2 linked regions of the Bombyx mori genome follow. Each later gene encodes a partner of the first gene's protein in a complex. Links are inferred from orthologs where the notes say so. Each region holds a gene or a part of one and is shown in the gene's direction. Other genes may lie near its edges.

The links.
Region 2: general transcription and DNA repair factor IIH helicase subunit XPD (region 1) and DNA-directed RNA polymerases I, II, and III subunit RPABC4 share a complex: the UniProt entries of both Homo sapiens proteins name them as parts of the TBP-based Pol II pre-initiation complex. The link is inferred for Bombyx mori from reciprocal best matches to the Homo sapiens genes ERCC2 and POLR2K.

The regions. Positions count from the first base shown.
Region 1 is NC_085127.1:13,498,623-13,509,604, forward strand, and holds the start of general transcription and DNA repair factor IIH helicase subunit XPD, read left to right. Parts: upstream 1-5,370; 5' UTR 5,371-5,544; coding exon 5,545-5,549; intron 5,550-5,620; coding exon 5,621-5,720; intron 5,721-5,810; coding exon 5,811-5,908; intron 5,909-5,983; coding exon 5,984-6,140; intron 6,141-7,033; coding exon 7,034-7,136; intron 7,137-8,593; coding exon 8,594-8,724; intron 8,725-9,299; coding exon 9,300-9,520; intron 9,521-10,069; coding exon 10,070-10,203; intron 10,204-10,952; coding exon 10,953-10,982. Other genes in the region: zinc finger protein ZFP2, read right to left, coding at 106-233, 1,437-1,574, 1,768-1,953, 3,089-3,460, 4,287-4,421, 4,842-4,949. UniProt on the Homo sapiens protein: ATP-dependent 5'-3' DNA helicase. Component of the general transcription and DNA repair factor IIH (TFIIH) core complex, not absolutely essential for minimal transcription in vitro.
Region 2 is NC_085111.1:12,245,066-12,255,536, forward strand, and holds DNA-directed RNA polymerases I, II, and III subunit RPABC4, read left to right. Parts: upstream 1-5,567; 5' UTR 5,568-5,760; coding exon 5,761-5,824; intron 5,825-6,473; coding exon 6,474-6,566; intron 6,567-7,232; coding exon 7,233-7,255; 3' UTR 7,256-7,405; downstream 7,406-10,471. Other genes in the region: nucleoside diphosphate kinase 7, read left to right, coding at 718-831, 953-1,096; ARL14 effector protein-like, read right to left, coding at 1,127-1,208, 1,915-2,058, 2,165-2,244; uncharacterized protein LOC119628526, read left to right, coding at 3,596-4,264. UniProt on the Homo sapiens protein: DNA-dependent RNA polymerase catalyzes the transcription of DNA into RNA using the four ribonucleoside triphosphates as substrates.

The DNA.
Region 1 (10,982 bases):
AACAGGCAGGGCGGTGGTACCTACCCGTGCGGACTCACAAGACGACCTACCACCATTAATTACGCAATTTATAATTTCAAACAGTCCGCCTAGCTGGGTACGTACGCCGTGGTGGCGACGTGGTTGCACCGCTTACAGATGTACTTCCTCTCGTGGTTGATCCCGTGGCGGTACAGGTTCTGTCTGGTCTTGAACCGGAGCTTGCACACCGGGCACTGCAAGCTGCCCGCGCTCTGTCCAAACATACCACACTGTTTCTGAACAACTCAGATACCCTCCACTTCTTTCATACCCAATCCTGTAGACCGAATGGCAAACAGTCGACGTCGCCCAAAGCACGTCATTACGGATCCTCCCGATCCATTAACGGTGCTTTTAGGCACCACAAGTACCGGTCACCGTCCTCGTCGAACCCGTCGCTTGCGACGAAGGGCTCGACGAGCGAATTATCCCATAGACACAGCCCACTGAGTTTCTCATCGGATCTTCTCAGTGGATCGCGTTTCCGATCCGGTGGTAGATTCTTGAAGCACTGCTCTTGCTAGGGTCAGTGTTAGTAACTCTTCGGTTTGAGCCCCGTAAGCTTACCTACACACGTTAGGGTGAAGCTGAAATAGCCTCTCAAGTCTCAAGGCTATCAGCATAAGTAGGAAAAAAAAACACTTCTAGAAAGTATTGTATTGACACACTGGTGTTAGGTCCTCTTGTGAGTCCGCACGGGTAGGTACCACTACCCCGCCTATTTCTGCCGCAAAGCAGTAATGCGTTTCGGTTTGAAGGGTGGGGCAGCCGTTGTAACTATACTGAGACCTTAGAACTTATCTCAAGGTGGGTGGCGCATTTACGTCATAAATGTCTATGGGCTCCAGTAAGCACTTAACACCAGGTGGGCTGTGAGCTCGTCCACCCATCTAAGAAAAAAATAAAAAAATCACTGCAACAGAACTTTTCGGCCAAATATATATTTTAAGCCCGACTGACTACGGGCAATGTCAAGTACTACTGTGTGTGAAGCTTTCCGCCCGACGCCTGGTTATTGTTACAAATCAAAGCCACAAGTCAATAGATACTTTTTTTTTGGCATTTTTTTTTGTTTTTATTAATTCTATACAGTAAGCTGTCTTAGGTCATTCAACCGTAGTTTTGAGAAAAACAATTTCTTAGGCGGTGCATGATTGACATGTCCGTATCGATTAATCTACAGTAAATCTAGTAGATCTTGAGGCAGTCTTCTTCTGGGTCTTCTTGTAGTCATTTGGTTGTCCATTAAATGCTTAGCAAGGTTATTCGGATGGGCTTCCAATCTTACACAGTAGGCTTTAGCTCGATGGATTACTTCATATTTCGACTTTTCTTATGGCAAGACCATAATGGGTTCTTTCATTTGTAACATACCGTGATGCGTTCACTATGATAGATAGACTGATAGAACTTACAGATGAATGTTTGGACAAGTGATGGTTCCAAGCATCGTTGTTCAAGAAACCTTTGTAGCAGAGCTGACACTTGTGCGGAGAGTTTTTGTAGTTTTTAGAATATTTCCGTTTCATTATCTCTTCTAACTGCTTTTCTTTCTGTAATTGTTGAATTTGTTTAATTAGTCCTGATGTGGATAGCAATCTACCGATTCAATCGATCTTGTCTTGTCCAGACCGAATGCAGATTAAGTCATATAATCCTAATCATTCCAGATTAGAATTGGTTTTAATATTTCCTTATTTGTGAGAGAAACTTATTAATTTGCATCTTACTAGAAGTGTTACTTACGCTTAAAATCTGTATGGTACAACATTCGTTTAGATTAATTTCATCTTCTGATACTTCAAGTGTGGTCCTTCTAATTTTTTCCATAGGATATTCAGAATCTGTTTTAGAAATATTAGATTTACTAATCCGCTTCGGTTGTTTAACTCCAATTTTCTCTGATGGTGATGACGATATATCATCGATTGTCTGGAATATTTTATAGAATTGATACAGTTAAGTAGGTAAGGTTTTATATATACGAAATAATTGGATTTTTTTTTAATCTTTATTAGAGCCATACACTTATTAGGTTAAGTCGGCTATTTTTGTAATTGATGAATGGAATACGAAAATTTTACATAATTATGAAGCATTTTAATCAACAATAGATGATACGAATGTTTGATCTTTAATGAATATTTTCTCGATTATTTTATTAATTTAATAAGACTGGTGTAGTGTATTAGTGCTGGTATTTATTGTCCTTTTCATTAAAAAGGATTACTAAGTGCTGTATAGATATAACATCAATACACAATTAACTAACATGTTACCCAACATGTGTGCTTAAATTTATATTTCACTAATTAAAATAATAACTCAGCACCGAGTACGGACTTTGAACAGAGTACGAGTAAATTACAAGAAACCTGAAGTATCTAATATTCTAGAACACTTACTCTCACTCTTTGCACAGCAGCAGAGCCTGGTCATTGTGTCATTATATAATTTTAAGCAACTCAAATACTTTACAATTTAGTGGTGAGTGCCGTATGTGTTGTAAGGAAAATAATATTAAAGTAGTTTTAATTAAGGCCGTTATGGGTTCAATTTGGGTATAGCAGTCCACTCTCAATTCTGACCACATCATAGAAGAATCTCATCCTTAAAAGATTTTAGTCTCAGTAGGAACCAAAGGGAAAATATTATGTTTTAGGTATGTGTATGTAGAATGTACTCATATATGAGTGAACTAAATATCTGTAAACTTCAGAACAAAACCTGGAGCTCTTTATAAGTATCAGTTATCACTTTACATGTGTTATGTTACAAATGTTTTGGTTCAACTTTTAGTTTGTAAGACTGTAATAAATAAATAAATAAATAAATTATGGTTTTAAACCTTATAAGTTTATGAATAAAATCTATGAACCAGTAAAAACAAAACTATATGTAAAATCTATGAGTTCTTTGCATATATTAGTGAATGTGCTCAGACGGTATGAATTTATAACCTAAGTCCGTAAACATCTCTGCATGAAATATTCCCGTTGATCTTGACATGTGAGATCAAAAGATCATGCTACCCTACCACCAGCAATTTACACTTAATAACACTCACATCAACAAATTGGAATTCTCTACTCGATACAGCCTCAATTTTGATGTCATTTTCGCTCAGATTACTATTGGTATTAATTTCTTCTTGTAAATGTACCAACGATAGTTCTTTAGAATCCAACTGAGATTGTAAGTCACTATAATCTTCATCGCTTAGGTATTCAATATTGCAATAGTCTTCTGAATTTGTTTCATTTATTTCTAATGAGTCTTCATTTTCTATAATAATATTATCATCAGCTGGAATGTCCAAATATTCTGTAGGAGAATCGTTGTGGAATAAGTCTGTTGGTGTGACATCCGTTTCAGTATAAATAGTCAATGATTTTTTCAAATAGTGTTTATCTAATGATTTTACTGATTCAATATTGACCTGCAAAACATTCTTGCTCTTTTTATTTGTTTTAATTATAAACTAGCTCCTGGTGTTAGGTGGTAATGGTAGTCCATAGACATAACAAACAGCATGAAAGCCATCAACTATCTTGAAACATGATGATGCTTTTTTTATTGCTTAGTTAGAGGTAGAACCTCTTGTGAGTCGGCACTGGTAGGTACCATCACCCTGACTATATCTGCCGTGAAGCAGTAATGTGTTTCGGTCTGAAGGGTAGGGCAGTCGTTGTAACTATACTGAGACCTTAGAACTCATATCTCAAGGCGGGTGGCGCATTTACGTTGTAGATGTCTATAAGCTCCGGCAACCACACCAGGTGGGCCTTAAGCTCATCCACCAATCTAAGCTATAACAAAAAAAAGTTTAATGAATTCATTACAAGCAGTTTGTTTACTGTTAAAAGATCTCTAGAAAACACAAAAGGAAGGAAGGTTTTTAGTATGTGTGGATTTATTTATTATTTTATCACGTAATTAATCCTTGGAAATCTTTTGTGAGCATGTGTTAGGATTGTTTCCATAATATGACACCAATTCAGTTAGAATAATCAGCATGATTTGACACACATTTTTTAATAATTTATATTTAATATTTCATAATTGAATAATTTTATGTAATTTAGTTTTGTCTAGTTTCCCAATTTTAGATCTACAGTTAGTTAAACTTATATTTGATTATATTTTTGTTCAGCAGAGAGAAAAAGCTAGAACAAATCATAGCACTAACTTCTACGATCCAAAGAATATGCATCCTATACTTATAAAAATGTCTAACAAAAGGTTTGAACAAAATCTAATATTACCTTTTTACCAGACTTTAGTATTTTATAAAATAAGGATTGTGCAACTAAGCATTTACTTTTAAATCTGCTATACTTTTTCAATAATCCTGCACAAAGATAACATACACACTGTGGTAGATCTGGAGAACATTCGGGCTGCAAAATAAATAAAAACATCGTCAATTAACAAAGTATGAATAAACAATTATAATCCCAAAGCAATTAAGCAGCAAGCAGCGAATCCAAATAAGGTATTATAATTTTTTTTTTTTAAATACACATGTTTTTGTTTTGATACACGTTTTTTTATTGAAAATTGGAACAATGTAGGACAGTAAAAAAAAGGCCGACCTATCTACTAGTTTATAATTATTCGTGCTCTACGGGATTTGAGGTTAGAATTGTTGTTTTTATCTTAGAAGTTGCATTTACTTTTCACGGAATATCATTATTATGACAAACTGTTTAATTCACTATTAAATATTACAAAAACCAAATTCAATTCCTATACAAACTAGAACCCGGTCAAACGTTACAAATCCAACACAATAGCTTTTCCGAATGAATGTAACTTACGTTAACTTCTACGATATCTTCATAATAGGTCTCCAATGGATAAAACTTTAAACTGTACATTTTAACATTAAATTCCAGACAGATCCGACAGACTGTATCGCTCCCCATAATTATCAAAATAACAATGTTTTGCTATGTTAATTTTGTCATTTTGTCACTATTTGTGTTTTTCTTTCTTACACTTTTTTTAAGTGATTTTATGACCTGGTAACTAAGACCTTTAGGTCATGTCTTATTTTAATTTATAGGTATTCTTATTTTTATGAAAAATGATAATATGGAGTGAAATGAAATCAAGATGATAATTTTGAGACATTAATCAACTAGGATGAAATAAAATGAAATGAGATGAGATGATATGGGATGAAATATAATCGCAGTAAAATGGTGGTCATTTATCATTTCATTTCATTTCACTCCATTTTATCATTTTTCATAAAAATAATTATATAAATTAAAATAAGACATGACTTAAAAGTCTTAGTTACCAGGTTATAAAAGCCATTAAAAATTATTAGTTTTTAATGTAGGTAGTCTGCAAGTAATAGTGTTCTGTGGTAGTCTGTCACATAGATTATACACTTAATATATGTCTGTCACTCGAATCAAAACAAAGTGGTTATTTAATTAATTCATGTATTGCTTGACTTGTTTGTTTATAATTATTTAAAATAGATAGTTGTGAAGGGCTTATATTTTCACCATGAAGTATGTCACTAATAAATGAATATATAAAAAAAACAAATACCATTAATTTAATAATCTCATTACTTTTTCAGGCTAACTGTCGATGGTTTATTGGTCTATTTCCCATACGATTACATTTATCCGGAACAGTATGCTTATATGTTAGAGTTAAAACGTGCATTGGACGCTAAGGTATTCAAAATCTGTATTAAAAAAGGAATCTACTTTAAACAAAATCCTAAAATTTTAAGGTTATGTTGTGTATCTTGCTTGAACTTGTAGGGACATGGATTGTTAGAGATGCCTTCCGGAACCGGAAAAACCATATCGCTCCTGTCTTTAATCGTAGCTTATATGATACAGAACCCTCATCATGTCAGGTAATTAAAATGAACAAGAACATTAATGATTAAAATTAATTAATTATAAAAAAATATGTACATATACTTTTTCAGAAAGTTAATCTACTGCTCTCGTACAGTGCCAGAAATAGAAAAAGTGTTAGAAGAACTAAAGAATTTATTCAATTATTATGAGAAATCTCAAGGAGAGAAACCGAACTTAACAGGAGTTGTTCTTAGTTCCAGGAAAAACTTATGTATTCATCCTGATGTAAGTTTCAATTTATAAGTCTGAACAAAAAATATTGTGCATTTGTTATCTATGATTAGTACTATATTTTTGGAATTATCTTCTTCTTTCTTTTCTATTTCCCTAGGCCGTGATGTAGGGCTCAAATAAAATTCTTCCATTTATATCAGTCTTGGGCAGTCTGTTCTAGCTCCTCTCATGTCATGTCCAAAACGCCCAGTTTCTGCTCTACTTTTGTTTTGGAATTATTTTAAAACAAATTTAAGTAACAAATGCATAGACAAAAAATATTAGAACCTTCCACCCTTGACCCATGCTCTATTGATTTGTGATTGCTAAATTTCAGTATCAGGATACTGGATGAAACACTTGTACGTAATTTAATACCTAAAAAGTAGGTGCCATGTTTGTGGCTTTATCATTCTGCTAGAAAAACATAAATGATCATAAATTGTTTTCTCCTTTTGAGTGCTCCTCAAATAGTAATCAGCCTAAGGAACTAGGGCATAGATTCCAGTTTGAAACAGCAAGATAAATAAAAAAAATTGAAATTTTTAACTAATGAAGATTTACAATATATAACAAAAAGAGACCTCATGAAACTTATTAAAATAATTAAAAAATACTTCATTCCCGAAGCTCTTATTTCATAAGCCCTTGATTTATTTATTTCAAAGAGAAACAAAAGCACTACAAAATTTTATTAAAGAACTTAAGTTAATTATTAAACTTATAGGTGACTTTTGGCATCATGGGAAATTTCCACCAAATAAATAATGTGGACCACATAATAATATGATTACCTCTCATCACTTCATTTGAAAATAATGCGTAGAGAAAATGCATACTTAAATTTATTTTATTAATAGGATATTATCGAAAAATTAATCTATTGTAATTTTTTTTAATAACAGGTATCAAGAGAAAGAGAAGGGAAGCTTGTAGATGGCAAATGTCATGCCCTCACAGCAAGCTATATACGAGACAGGCATGAACGTGATAGCTCTGTGCCAATTTGTAAGTTCTCGCCTTGATATGAGTTGTCTATTATCAAAGGTGGCAATCTGTGCATTTGGACAAAAAAATTTTATTGATATGTTTTTTTTATTTTTTTTTTATTGCCTTTGTAGGCAGACGGGCATACGGCCCACCTGATGGTGAGTGGTTACCGTCGCCCATGGACTTCAGCAATGCCAGGGGCAGAGCCAAGCCGCTGCCTACCGCTTAATACTCTCCACAAGCCTCGTTTGAAGAAGGACATGTCATAGCGCTCGGGAAACACCATGGAGGGGAGCTCATTCCATAGCCGGATGGTACGTGGCAAAAAAGATCTCTGGAAACGCACTGTGGATGATCGCAGTGGCTCCAGGTTGTATGGATGAACTCTACTCCGGTGGCGGGCGGTGCGATGGTAAAAACGAGATGCTGGTATCATCTCGAACAATTCCTCAGAGCACTCCCCATGGAACATACGGTACAAAATACAGAGGGAACCGAAGTCCCTCCGCAGACCCAGAGGCTCCTATTGATATGTCAATACAGATTGATTTGAATATAATCGTCTCCTTCAAAGAATACGGTTCAAAACCTGCATTAAATAAAGGTTAATACTTAACCTGTTATTTATCTAAGATGTCGTTCAGAAGAGTTTTGTGACTGCCAATGGAATACAAAGTCAATAATTCGTTTTTCTGATTTACCAATCATTGTCCAAAAGTCAGATTGCCGGCTTTGATAATAGTCGACTCATATAAAATATGTCTAAATTAATCTGTTTTTTTATTTTTATTTATTGCTTAGATGGGTGGATGAGCTCACAGTCCACCTGGTGTTAAGTGGTTACTGGAGCCCATAGACATCTACAACGTAAATGCGCCACCCACCTTGAGATAAAAGTTCTAAGGTCTCAGTATAGTTACAATGACTGCCCCACCCTTCAAACCGAAATGCATTACTGCTTCACGGCAGAAATAGGCGGGGTGGTGGTACCTACCCGCGCGGACTCACAAGAGGTCCTACCACCAGTAGTTACGCAAATTATAATTTTGCGGTTTTTATTTTTATTACACAATGTTATTTCTTTCACCTTGGAAGTTAATCGAGAACATTTGCTTATTATGTATTTTATTAGTATATGAAAGACTTGCATAGATATAAGATATTTACAACCGCTATATGTAGCAACTTGATTATTTATTTATTTCACATGCCGATAAGCATCAGTCACTGCTCAGTATCCTGTGGGCTGTACCTGCTACTGTGGATAAAAAAACTATTACTGTATTTTGTCATTGTGACCCCATAGACACAGGCTTAAATAGCTATGTATCTTGAGATAATACAACTTCACAATGGAGCTGCATTATGTAACACGTTGGTAAAGGTTATATGCCTGGGGATCTTTGGATAAATATTCAGATCCTCTTAAACTCATATTTGGTTAGACTTGTAGAACTAAATGAATATTATTGCAGGTCAATTTTATGAGGGCTTCAATCGTGAAGGCAAAGAGTCTATGTTACCATACGGAGTCTACACTATGGATGATATGAAACAATATGGTGCTGATAGAAATTGGTGTCCATATTTTCTTGCGAGATTTGCTGTGAGCAGTAATTTAATTAATTTTTAATTTGTTTTGAATTTTTTTATCATTTACTTTTATTTTACACTGTCATAGTTCGTGTTGTGATGAGGTAACAAAAAACCATAGACTTTGATTCTTATTGGATTAGACACCCACGATGTGAATATAAATATAATTTTTTTTTATATTAATTAGTTACCAAACATATATTTGGTTACAATTTCTACTAATCTCTCTTTAATTAATTAATTAAATTTCTCTTTAATTAATTGACGTTTTTAGTATTGTATTTCAATAAAAAATAATTGTCATATTTCATCTATTCACTGAAAGCTATCTACTACTACTTAAGCCAGCATCAATTTCAATAAGATGGTAGTATTTTTATCCTGCACAGGTGAGGACTATCGTTGTACCTATTTCGTCTATGAAGTCTTAATGTGACTAGTTAAATAACTAGAACTTCCACTTCATGTCTTGAGGTTTGCTACATTTACTGTGTGGTGTCTATCACCTCTGGTAACAATTTAACTTAATAAGGTGGGTCGCAAGCTAATCTTCCCATCTAATTCAATATCACGGGTATATTTCAGATAATTCACGCTGAGATAGTGGTGTACTCATATCACTATTTGCTAGATCCAAAAATAGCAGAAGTTGTCTCGAAGGAACTGAACAGGGAGGCGGTGGTCGTGTTTGATGAGGCTCACAACATAGACAACGTGTGTATAGACTCCCTTAGTGTGAAGATCACGAGGCGGACCATAGACAAGAGCTCGCAGGCATTACAGCAACTTGAGAAGACTGTTGCAGAGTGAGTAATTAAGTAGCTGCTTTCCTTTTTAATTACTGTAGTGCGGTAGACGACGGGCTCACGACCAACTTTGAACGTCTTTTGAATCGCACGGGTAGGTACCACCACCCTGCCTATTTCTGCCGTGAAGGTTTGGGCAGCCGTTGTAACTATACTGAGATCTTAGAACTCATATCTCAAGGTGGGTGGCGCATTTACGATACGTTATAGATGTCTATGGACTCCGGTAACCACTTAACACCAGGTGGGCTATGAGGTCGTCCACCCATCTAAGCAATAAATAAAAATAAAACAAAAAGAATTTATGCAGTCATTAATATGAGGTAGAGCTGCTATAGATATAGATAGTTCCTATAGGTAATTGGAACCTCAGAGATATTTGTAACCTGATGTCCATCTCGTCAACCACTTCACAGCCGGTGGACCACAATCTTACTTGCGCATTGAAGTAAAACAGACTTTTACAAAGATTTTACAATAGATAGATAGATTTTACAATTATACAAGTCTTAGGTTCCAATTACACAAGAGAAAATTTGAACTTAACAGAATTCGTGACGAAGACGCGGCTCGTCTTACGATGGAGTACGAGCAACTGGTGGCAGGGCTGAAGGACGCCGCCATACAGAGGGAGACTGATACAATACTGGGCAACCCTATTTTACCCGATGAAGTGTTGAACGGTGAGCAATTGTCATGGCTAACGTTTTAATTACAACCTCATTGACTGAGAGTTTCATTTAAAATTGTATTACTTATTTAGAAATATATTAAAAGTTAAAAGCTATCCCACAAGCAGATTTAAATATTTTTGTAAGGAGTTTTAAGTACACATGTGTAACACTTGTACACGAATAAATTCTTTGAAGAAGGAATAACATCACATAACAAACATGAAATGCTGAAATTCTTAATGCCGGTATGGGTAAATACTAGAACCCTGCCTATTTATGTCACGAAGCAGCAACGTGTTCCGGTGTGTAGGGTATGTCAGCCGTGCTGACCGAATGGTTGTCTGTAAAGTCGGTATACGGACGATAGCTTTACGTGATAACGTCAGTAGCACAACTATCCGAACTGCCAGCTCTGACGTCACGCGAAAAGAGAGTTATATGCGTCATAAGCCAACGCTTGGGCCAATAGTTAGTGCTTTTCTATCGCTTGTTCCGCGCTCTCGCTTGCACGCCCAAGCGGAACGCGATACTTTTTCGGGCGTGCAGCCGGTGTTCATCGATTTTATTATTAGGGAGTCCAACACTCTAATATATATTAGCGTATACATTAAGTACCTGTATTTTCTACATGGATACCAAGTTTCAACTCAATCGGATGCACGGTTCAGTAGTTATAACGGAGAATCCGTAAAAACCACTGTAGATTTATATATTAGTATAGTTTATCACCTTATCGATAGTTTTGTTTATAATTGCAGAGGTTGTACCCGGTAACATCAGGAACGCCG
Region 2 (10,471 bases), on another chromosome or scaffold:
CTTCCTGAACGTTCGTTTTTATCTTAGAAGTTAGTTTTTTTTGGCCTGCTAACCAATTGAACTTCTAATAAGTAGCATCTACAACAGTTAAGTTTAGAACTGGCATTTTAAGTTTATTAGCAGTAACAATGCACACGATAATCGAGGCTAGCCATCTAGGCAAATTAAAAACTGAAATAAAACCTATTTAAATATTAAAAATAAATAATTTGGAAAATATAAACATTTCAAAACTTTATTTTTTTTAAAGGATACTATTTATGGAAAGTACTCATGACAATAACAGCACAAATGAAACCTTTTTAATCTCTAATTTTATCCTGAGTGTTTGTGTTTAAAATACCTAATATTTATTCAAGTAAAAGTTAGTTGTCCTACCTTCTAAAATGATGTGCATGATGTCTTTATAGCTAAATAAACAGGGCAGTGGTGCAAGCTTGAAATATACTCTACCACTTGACATAGCTACTAGAAGTTTCAAGGATTAATTAAGAAACTCCATTAGTGTTGTCAAACTAGAATAACACCAGTCCATTTCTTTGCATGGGCACATATGAGGTGACTAAGAGACTCACTGAAGAATGAGTGGTTCATGGTGGAATTCTAGGCAGACACTACTGTTGATAAGTTGATGAATATGACAGCCTTTGAACGAATCTTGTAACCAGGTAGTGTTAAAAACTAGATTCACAACTTAATTTTTATTGCCATTTTCAGGCAATGTGTATTCATTTGGCTGAGGGGAAATGTGTTGTATTAGAGGTAACAAGCACCAACCTTGAATTGAATAGCGTTTGTGAATTCAGAAAGATGTGTGGACCTAGGGATCCTGTAAGATATTATTTATTACATATTATTTAACAAACGTAATTTAATTTATTTAAGAGGTTTATTTTTACCAAAACTTTTAGCACTATTTAAATTCATGAAAATTTTATTTTTTAAAAACTAGGATTTGTGTCGTCAACTATACCCAGAATCCATCAGAGCTCTCTATGGAAAATCTATAGTACATAATGCTGTTCATTGTACTGATCTTCCTGAAGATGGTGAACTAGAAGTTGAATATTTCTTTAAACTTGTAGCTAATGATTAAATATGTTTTATTATAATATTATATTTCCAGTTACTTGTTTTTGTAATCATTTTTTACAACAAAATCATTTCCTTCTATTTCAATTTTGTCATACATCCATTTTCTGTTAATTCTGAAAAAGAATTTAATCTTAGAATTATGTGTATAATTATGAATTACTATTTTAAATAAAGATAAATGTTCAGTGAAATACACCTTTGATTTATTAAAAGATAAGTAAGTTAATTTTTTTAATTGCTAAAGGAGTAACTGAGATGAGATCACGAAATTTGTGCATTTGCCGTCATTAAAAACTTGGGCTATCTACATACCACCTTAACTCATAAGATCAAAGTGTTGTAATAGCAGTTGTCTTATACTTCAAAGGGATACTCATAATTGTTTCATGACAAATTGCTAAAATGGTAACAATCTTACCTAACAAGTCCACTGTATGTGTCACTGCTCATAATTATGCAATTTAATAAATTTTACAGGAGAATAAGGGCTTTAAAAAAAAAAGTTTTGATTGCTTAGATAGGTGGTCGAGCTCACAGCCCATCTGATGCATCTATAATGTAAATGCCGTCACCCACCTTGAGACATGAGTTCTAAGGTCTCACTTTTAACAGTACAAAAGCTGTCATACCCTTCAAACCAAAACGCATTACCTACTGCTTCACAGCAGAAATAGGCAGGGTGGTGGTACCTTCCCGTGTGGACTTCTAAGACGTCCTACAACCAGTAATAAGTGTTGTACCACAGCATTTATCTCTATCTGATATCCATGATTATTTTGAAAGATTAATTATTGTTTAAAATTAATATATTGTTTATACCTGCACTCATGGCCACATTTATTGGAATTGCAGTTTGCACATGGAAAATGGCATCCGGGACACTTCTCATCGAGGCAATCACACAAGTCTTTGCCAGTTTCAGCAATATGACCGTGGTCATCATAAATTCTCTTCACTTTTCGACTGCAACATTAGAAATATTGACTATTAAATTGATGAAAATATATTTATATATATTACAAATTCAGACTTGAACGGATTCAATAGAATAGAAATTGTTTCAACTTACGAAGTGAAATATTTTTTCCTGTTTGCTTTTCTACGTTCACGAGCTGAATTTTTAGGATCAAAATTATCTAAGAAACGCATCTTTTAAAAAGTACATGCTACAAACACAAAATAATATTAAAAAAATATTCTCTTCCGCGCGTTATTACCCGAATACAAACGATATTTAATTTATTATTATTATTATTTATTATTATATATTTATCCGGTGGAAGATTCTGCGAATTCTGCGACTATTTTTGTTAGGCCTAGTGTTAGCAAATTCTCTCAGGTTTAGCTAGTGAGGTGAGCTCACCTACCCGTCGGTGAGAAGTACTGAGAAGCTGAAATAGCCAGCTGTAACCGGTAAACAATATATAATCTTACTCTATGCGGTAAACTTTGTGAGCAAATGACCTTGACTGCGCAGAACCGAATTTTAGATCACTTTGGTGGTGAGGGTGAGGCGCGACGGCAGGGGAAATCGTATCGAGCGCGTTGTTGGTAGATCAGTCGAACCTTGCGTCCCGCACCGCGCCCTCGTTCCCATAGATTATACACTTAATATATTTGAGACTCGTTCCGCTTGCTCCCAAAAGTACGCTTGCGTACAGTGAAAAGTCTATTAATATTAATCGTTGAAGTTATTTGTTATAATTATTATTGTTTGTTGATTTTGTTGTTATTGCTATTTGTTGAGTGTTTCTTGATTTTTTATAAAAAATATACTATGCCACGTCAAACTGGTGTAGTATTAAAAAGACAAGCTAGAAAAATGGTGTACGACGTATATTGCTTTCTTAAAAAGCAGGGAAATAATGATATGGAAACGGTAAAAGAGACTTCAGAGGCAACAAAAACATCAGTCAGTACTGTTAGGCGTATTATTAATGAAGCGAAGGGCTCTAACTTGCTCGCCGTGTTTCGTACTCCAGGTAAAAAAAGATCAGGGAAGAAGAAAGTTACCGGAATTGATAGTTTCGACCAATCTGCAATAAAAAGATGTATTCATAATTATCACATAACAAACAGCGAACTTCCTACCGTCGAAAGACTTCGTAAAAAATTGAAAGAAGATATAAATTTTAATGGCTCGGAACGAAGTTTACGACGAATTATGAAAGAGCTAGGCTTCAGATGGAAAAGAACAGAAAATAATCGGAAGCTATTAATTGAAAAAAGTAATATTCGACTACTAAGGATCGAATATCTCCAAAAAATAATTAAATATAGGCAAGAAGGAAGACCGATAGTGTACACCGATGAGTCCTATGTCGACTCATCACATGCAAGTGGTATGTCGTGGTCAGATGGATCAACTGGGGGTTTAAAAAAACCAATTTCGAAAGGACAGCGTGTAGTAATAGTGCATGCTGGCTCCGAAGATGGATTTGTTCCCAATGCCCTTCTTTTGTTTAAAGCTGGCACAAAATCTGGTGACTACCACGATAACATGAACTATTTGAACTACGAAAAATGGCTGCGTTGTCAATTGCTACCAAATCTGCCACCAAATTCCGTTGTAGTAGTCAACAATGCGTCATATCACTATAAACAGTCTGACCCCGCTCCAACTGCCAATGCCAAAAAAGTCTATATGAAGAAATGGTTACAAGAAAAAGAAATTCCATACGATGAAAACATGTTGAAACCCCAGCTTTTTAGCTTGATTAAAGCACATAAGGAACAACACAAAACATACAGCATTGATAAAATTTTATCAAACCACAACCATTCAGTGCTTCGCTTACCTCCATACCATCCAGACCTCAACCCAATTGAAATGGCTTGGGCAGCTATTAAAGGGTATGTCAGTAGCAAAAATGTCGACTGGAGCACTGGCAAAGTAATAGAGCTAGTGAAGGAAAAGGTCGCGGTGATGGGTGCTCCGGAATGGGGTAGAATATGTCAAAAGATAAAAGATATTGAGGCGGAGTATGTAAAAAGTGATCATGTGGTAGATTTAGTCACTGATGAGTTTGTAATTTTTGCTGACGATGATTGCGACACGGATGAAGAAAGTAGTGATGATGATGATGATGGTCATGATTATGATAGCGAAAAAACAATTAAAAATACCAGCTCAGCTTCAGCTGATCCAAGACCTGGCACCAGCTCCTAGTTTTGACCTAATGGAAGGAATATCTATTTTACCCCTAGATTAAATTACTACAATTATTAACCTGTATTTTTTGTTCATGTACTAATAAATATATAAATAAATACATATTATGTTGTTTTTAATAACTTAACATTTTTGTACGTAATTGTACGATGCGCGAACTTACCCCCACTACGTCAACTAATGCTCAAGAAGTTTGCCGAGTATTAAGCGAATAGGCAGGTGCAGGTAGGGAAAAAAATGAAAAAATATTTATTTCTTTGTTTACTATGTTTGTTTTTTTAAGGGATTTTATGACCTGGTAACTAAGACCTTTAGGTCAAGTCTTATTTTAATTTTAATGATAACTTTTTTATATGAAAAATGATATTATTAAATGAAATGAAGTTGATTATTGTGAAACATGGCATGAAATGAAATGAAAACGAAATGAAATGAGAAAATATGGGATGAAATATAATCTCAGTAAAATGGTGGTCATTTACTAAGATTTTTCAGTGGACTTTTTGGAGGATCCCGAGAAGTTACGTCCAGCGGCTTTGTTCCATTTTCCCACATTTGTGCACTTTCACAGATATTAAACTGCTAATAAACCACCATTATTACACATTTAAACCCGAAGAAACACTAAATAGACAAAATATAACAAATCACACAATATCACTCCTCGCGTTCCCGCCAAAAAGTCTGTTTTTCTATGTTTGGGAGCTTAATGCACAGATTAGCTAACTCAATCCATAAATAAAATGTAAAAAAATATGCCATTTATTTGCTTTACGGCTCACTGAATTTGGTCCCCTTTTTTAATTTTCGATTTTTTTAATTTTTAATTATTTGTTCGTCGTTTGTTCGTTAATGTTCGCGCGTAACAAAAAGGTAGTAAATACGGCCGTCGGCCATTGCCATCTGACTGACAAAACCGGCGCATGCGCAATGTAGGCGTGAGGTGATAATTTGCTTATTAGATATAAAATAATTAATAATTTCGAATTTACTTGTTTTTATGATCGAACAATCACCAATAGTCGTCGAACAAACAATAATTGATCAAAATTAATTAATCTGAGCAATAAAAACAAAGATATCTAGTAAGAGGGGCCAACTGAAGGGTGATCATTTGTTTAATTAATTATAAATAAATAAAAGACGAACAGATAATTTTACATTCAAACATTGACGATCAAACGACGAACAAATAATTAAAAATAATCCTCGGTTCCCCTCCAATGTCCCGATGATTTTTTCTTTTAAATTTCCACTCCTTTTTTTACGTATTTTTTTCTTCAACAAGACAAGCCCTCTTTTGAACAAAACGTTTTATGGTTTAAGTTCCCTTTGCGGCTTAATTAAACAAATCCAAAAACCATAGATTCTACACACAAAATAACAATCCAAAGCATAGATTATACACTTAATATAAAGCTTAAATCAAATTGGTGATTTAAAATAAAACACATTTTTTATTATTATTTAATTTTTCTCTATTTTAGCACATAATGGCTGACACAACTGGGAAAGAGCAATCAGTTACTAAAGTGCCAATGATATATGTTTGTGGAGGTACAGTGTAACCAAATAATAACAAAACTTCTATCACTTTGTAAAACACTAACACAAAATAACCTAATAATTGTTAGGTATCAGCATACCCCAATAATTGAATATTTTTTTTGTATTTCTTTTTCTCTTGATTTATGAACATTTTTTATAGAAAAAAGAAAGAAACTACTTTTAAAATGTTCTTACCGATAACACTAAGCTTGTCAATGTCTACTAAACAAAGAATTAATAAATCAGTTAATTTGTCTTTTGTGTATAGTAGATTATAAAATTATTCACACTGTCTTATAACATTGTATAAATTAAGGCGTTTTGTTTAATGTGTTATTGTTTTACTATATTTCAAATGGGGAATGCATCTGTATAAATATAAATGTTCTTTAGTAAAGCTAAAAGCCGTAAAAGCTTAAGTGCTTTTAATAAAACTTGTTAATATTAATATTAAAATTTAAAAAACCTAAACTTAAAAGTATTAGAAAAATGAAATTGATTCAATTGAGAGTAAATTATATTGTTTGCCCTTTTCTACATTATTGTTTTTGCCGATCATCTACTTCAACTGTTTAAATGTTGGTTTCTTTAATAAATGCAATCCTGAAACTATAATATGGGTCTGCAAAACAAATGATGCTTTCATTATCATTTTCAGAATGTCACAAAGAGAATGAAATCAAACCAAGAGATCCTATTAGGTGCAGAGAATGTGGTTACAGAATAATGTACAAGAAAAGAACAAAAAGACGTATCCTTTTGATTCTATAAATATATTCTTAAAGTAAAGATTATAGGACTAGGATACAGCCTAGTGATTTTAATCAGTAGAAAGGTATTGACAGGTATCACCCATATTTAATTCCTTCATTGTGGAAGTGATTCGTGATCACATTTCGAGAGTATATTTCTTTGGATATTGGTATATGCAATTTGCACATTTGCATGGTTGCACAGCTTGACACAACTACACCATCTGTTTTATCCTTTAGATCACATTGAGCTTGCAAGAAAATAAATGTAATAAATGAGTCGACTATTATCAAAGGCGGCAATCTGACTTTTGGACAATGATTGGTAAATCAGAAAAACGAATTATTGACTTTGTATTCCATTGGCAGTCACAAAACTCTTCGGAACGACATCTTAGATAAATAACAGGTTAACTATTAACCTTTATTTAATGCAGGTTTTGAACCGTATTCTTTGAAGGAGACGATTATATTCAAATAAATCTGTATTGACATATCAATAAAAAAAAATTGTCCAAATGTACAGATTGCCACCTTTGATAATAGACGACTCATATCTGTTAAAATCTTCAGAAAATTACCCTTTTTGTAGTTTGTGTTGATTTTAAATTCATCATATTTTTGTTCGTAATATTCTGAAAAATTTTCCTTAAGTAAGAATTCAGTGGTTGTGTTTGACGCTCGGTAAACGAATTCTGGAAACAAAACCCTAGAAGATAAGTTCGGTGGATACATCATGCACAGAAGAGTGAAATAAATTTATAATAAGGTTAATGTGTATTTTTGTTACTTTGTCTATGCTCTAATAATACTGACCAATGAAAAAAAATATATACAAGGTAGTTTTTTTATAGTAGATTTATAGATCTACATCATCACTTTACATTATATACTGGTGGTAGCCCATAGACATTAAAACATGAATGCCACCTACCGCCATGATATATGTGTTCTAAATTGTACCCAATAGATATAAGTAATCTGAATGATTTGAAGTATCAATCAACTTATTTGATGTTTCTAAATGAACTACTGCCTTAAAAAAAAAAGACTTAAGTGCAAGAAAAATATGTAACTTTATAGATAGATATCAAATGAGTTCATTATCTTTTTTTTTTATTGCTTCGATGGGTGAATGAGCTCACAGCCCACCAGGTGTTAAGTGGTTACTGGAGCCCATAGACATCTACAACGTAAATGCGCCACCCACCTTGAGATAAAGTTCTAAGGTCTCAAGTATAATTACAACGGCTGCTTCACCCTTCAAACCGAAACGCATTACTGCTTCACGGCAGAAATAAGCAGGGCGGTGGTACCTACCCGCGCGGTCTCACAAGAGGTCCTACCACCAGTAATTACGCAAATTATAATTTTGCGGGTTTGATTTTCATTACACGATGTTATTCCTTTAATCGTAAACATGGGTGGCGGCATTTACGTGTGACCGTTGGCCAGTTTTGCACACGACACCGCTAGTGGCGCCAGACGCAAAGTGTCAATATGGAGTACTTTCGTAAAACTTCCGTTAAATAATAACAACTAATAAAAAAAACAAAAGGGAAATATCTCAGTGTATTTTAATTATGTAACTTCATCATTATAAAGTTTTAACAATTTATTAAAATTATTACCTCTCATAATAAAACACCAGAAAATGTATGTCTAAAATTTTACAATAGCCACAAATATACATTTTTTTTCGATCCATAAAAACTATCAATAAATAATTGTTAGGACTCACGACATTAATATCAAATTTAATTTTTCACACATTCCTCTAAGTCAACTTTTTGCTTACGTTATATAATAGTGAATATAAACATGCTATGGGTATACACATGCATAAAGAAAATTTGAATAAAGAGATTTAATTCCATTCTATAGTTACCAACTCACTAATCATAATCAAAAAGTTTATAGCACATACAAATAACATTCTTGGAAACAAAATACAAAATCATGACAGTTTATGATCAAGTAACTTTACATGTTCTGTCTCGAATTTATATTATGTCCCAATTAGAGAACTATACAGATGACGTAATAAATTTCAATTTATCGGTAGTTGAAATATAAAAATTACATAGAAAAATATCAATTAAAAATCATTTTAAACTTGAAATAACTAAATGATTATCTTTAAAAAGCTTATATTTCTATTCGCAAGTGTTTTGAAAATAATAATTATGTATTTATTTAAAATCATACTAGTGGCTAACAGAGGAGATAATTTCATTGAAAAACTAATATGGAAATGAGCTATTTGTATTCTGTAAAATACGCATTTAAATATGTATTTATGGCTTTGCTGAATTAGTAGAGTTGACTTTAGCTACCTATTGTATCACAGAGTCCTCTTTAAATTCGAAGTCAGCTTCTTCATTAAAAACATTTGGCATTCGAGGACTAAATGTACATACATTTGTCATGTTTAACTTTCAAGCACCCATTATAACAAAGGGGAAAACCCTAGCTTGGGGACGTTTAATATGAAACGTTTAGTACCGAACCATTGAAATTTTATTAGATGGATTTAATCAGTTAGAACAACTTATTATTGTAGATAAGACCGCTTACAGGCCACCTGTGTGCTTAGTGCGAGCTTCTGAACGTTCTCGATAACGTAAAAGTTAAGCCAATTTTGTATGCAATTGGAACCGCCCCTAGCGGCAAACGTACGCAAGCGATCCCATTCCATACAAATATGACCTAACTTTTACGCTATCGAGAACGTTAAAAAAACTCGCACTAAGCACACTGGCTTAAATGGAAAAAGAGCCGCTCGCACAACAATGGAATAGCAAAGAATTGGAAACAATTTTATTGGATAGTGCGAGAATTATAACGTCGGATCACATTTTTGAGTAACATATCGAATTTTGATTTTGTTATTTAAATTGTAAACGGTTTGATCTTATAAGTAATGGTAAACAAGGGCAAGTAAAATTGATAGAGTCCCGTCTGTAATGAGAGATGAAAGGATGGATCATGTATGATTTAAAATAATGTGAATAATGACAATACCAGTAAATAGGCATTCAATTGAAATTATATTGAATATTATCATTTTTCTTTCATGCCAATCCGGAATTGGATTAATATTAGAAACATTATTTGTAGATGTGAATTATTTAAGTATGCATGTTATTTTGTTTAAAATATTTATTTTTTTATTTACCGCACTTTATGTCGCCTCTCGAGACTGATACGATTTATCGTTTCCGCTTGAATGTCTATTTCAACAGTTTTTTCAATTAAAACGTATAGCAGATTTTTTGTATAAGTTTTAGAATTAGGAGCCTATAATTATAAATCATTGATTAGCGTCGATGCCTTTCTGTTGCTATAAGCTTCTTGATCATAATGGTAGATTTAGGTTTTTATCGATTATGTACATATATATTTTAATAGATAGTTATTTATTATGGTGGTACTTAAATACATTTTGTACCTTAATAATTATGACAGTCCCGTGATATGATCAGACACAAGATATTTACAAAAATAACTAAGTAGTTTGTTTTTGAAAATTGATATTCCAATATGGTATAGTACAATAGTAGTATAAGGCGCAGTGCAGCAACCCAGTTCGAAAATATTGTAAAAATGTTATTGTAAATCTACATCGTTATTAAAATAGTTTATACAATATATTATATAACAATATAAGACATATATATACTACAATAAAGAAACATAATGATGATATCATATATTTTAAAAATTTGAATTTGATTTGATTGGTATTATTAATAGTGATATTTTCGAACAGCTTGTGGTCTGCAGCTTCAATGAAGCTTAATTTCATATTAGCGCCATAAAGCTTAATTTCTAGAAAAATAGTTTAACAATGAATATATATATACTTTTCAAATAACAGTACATTATATATAAAAAACTAGGC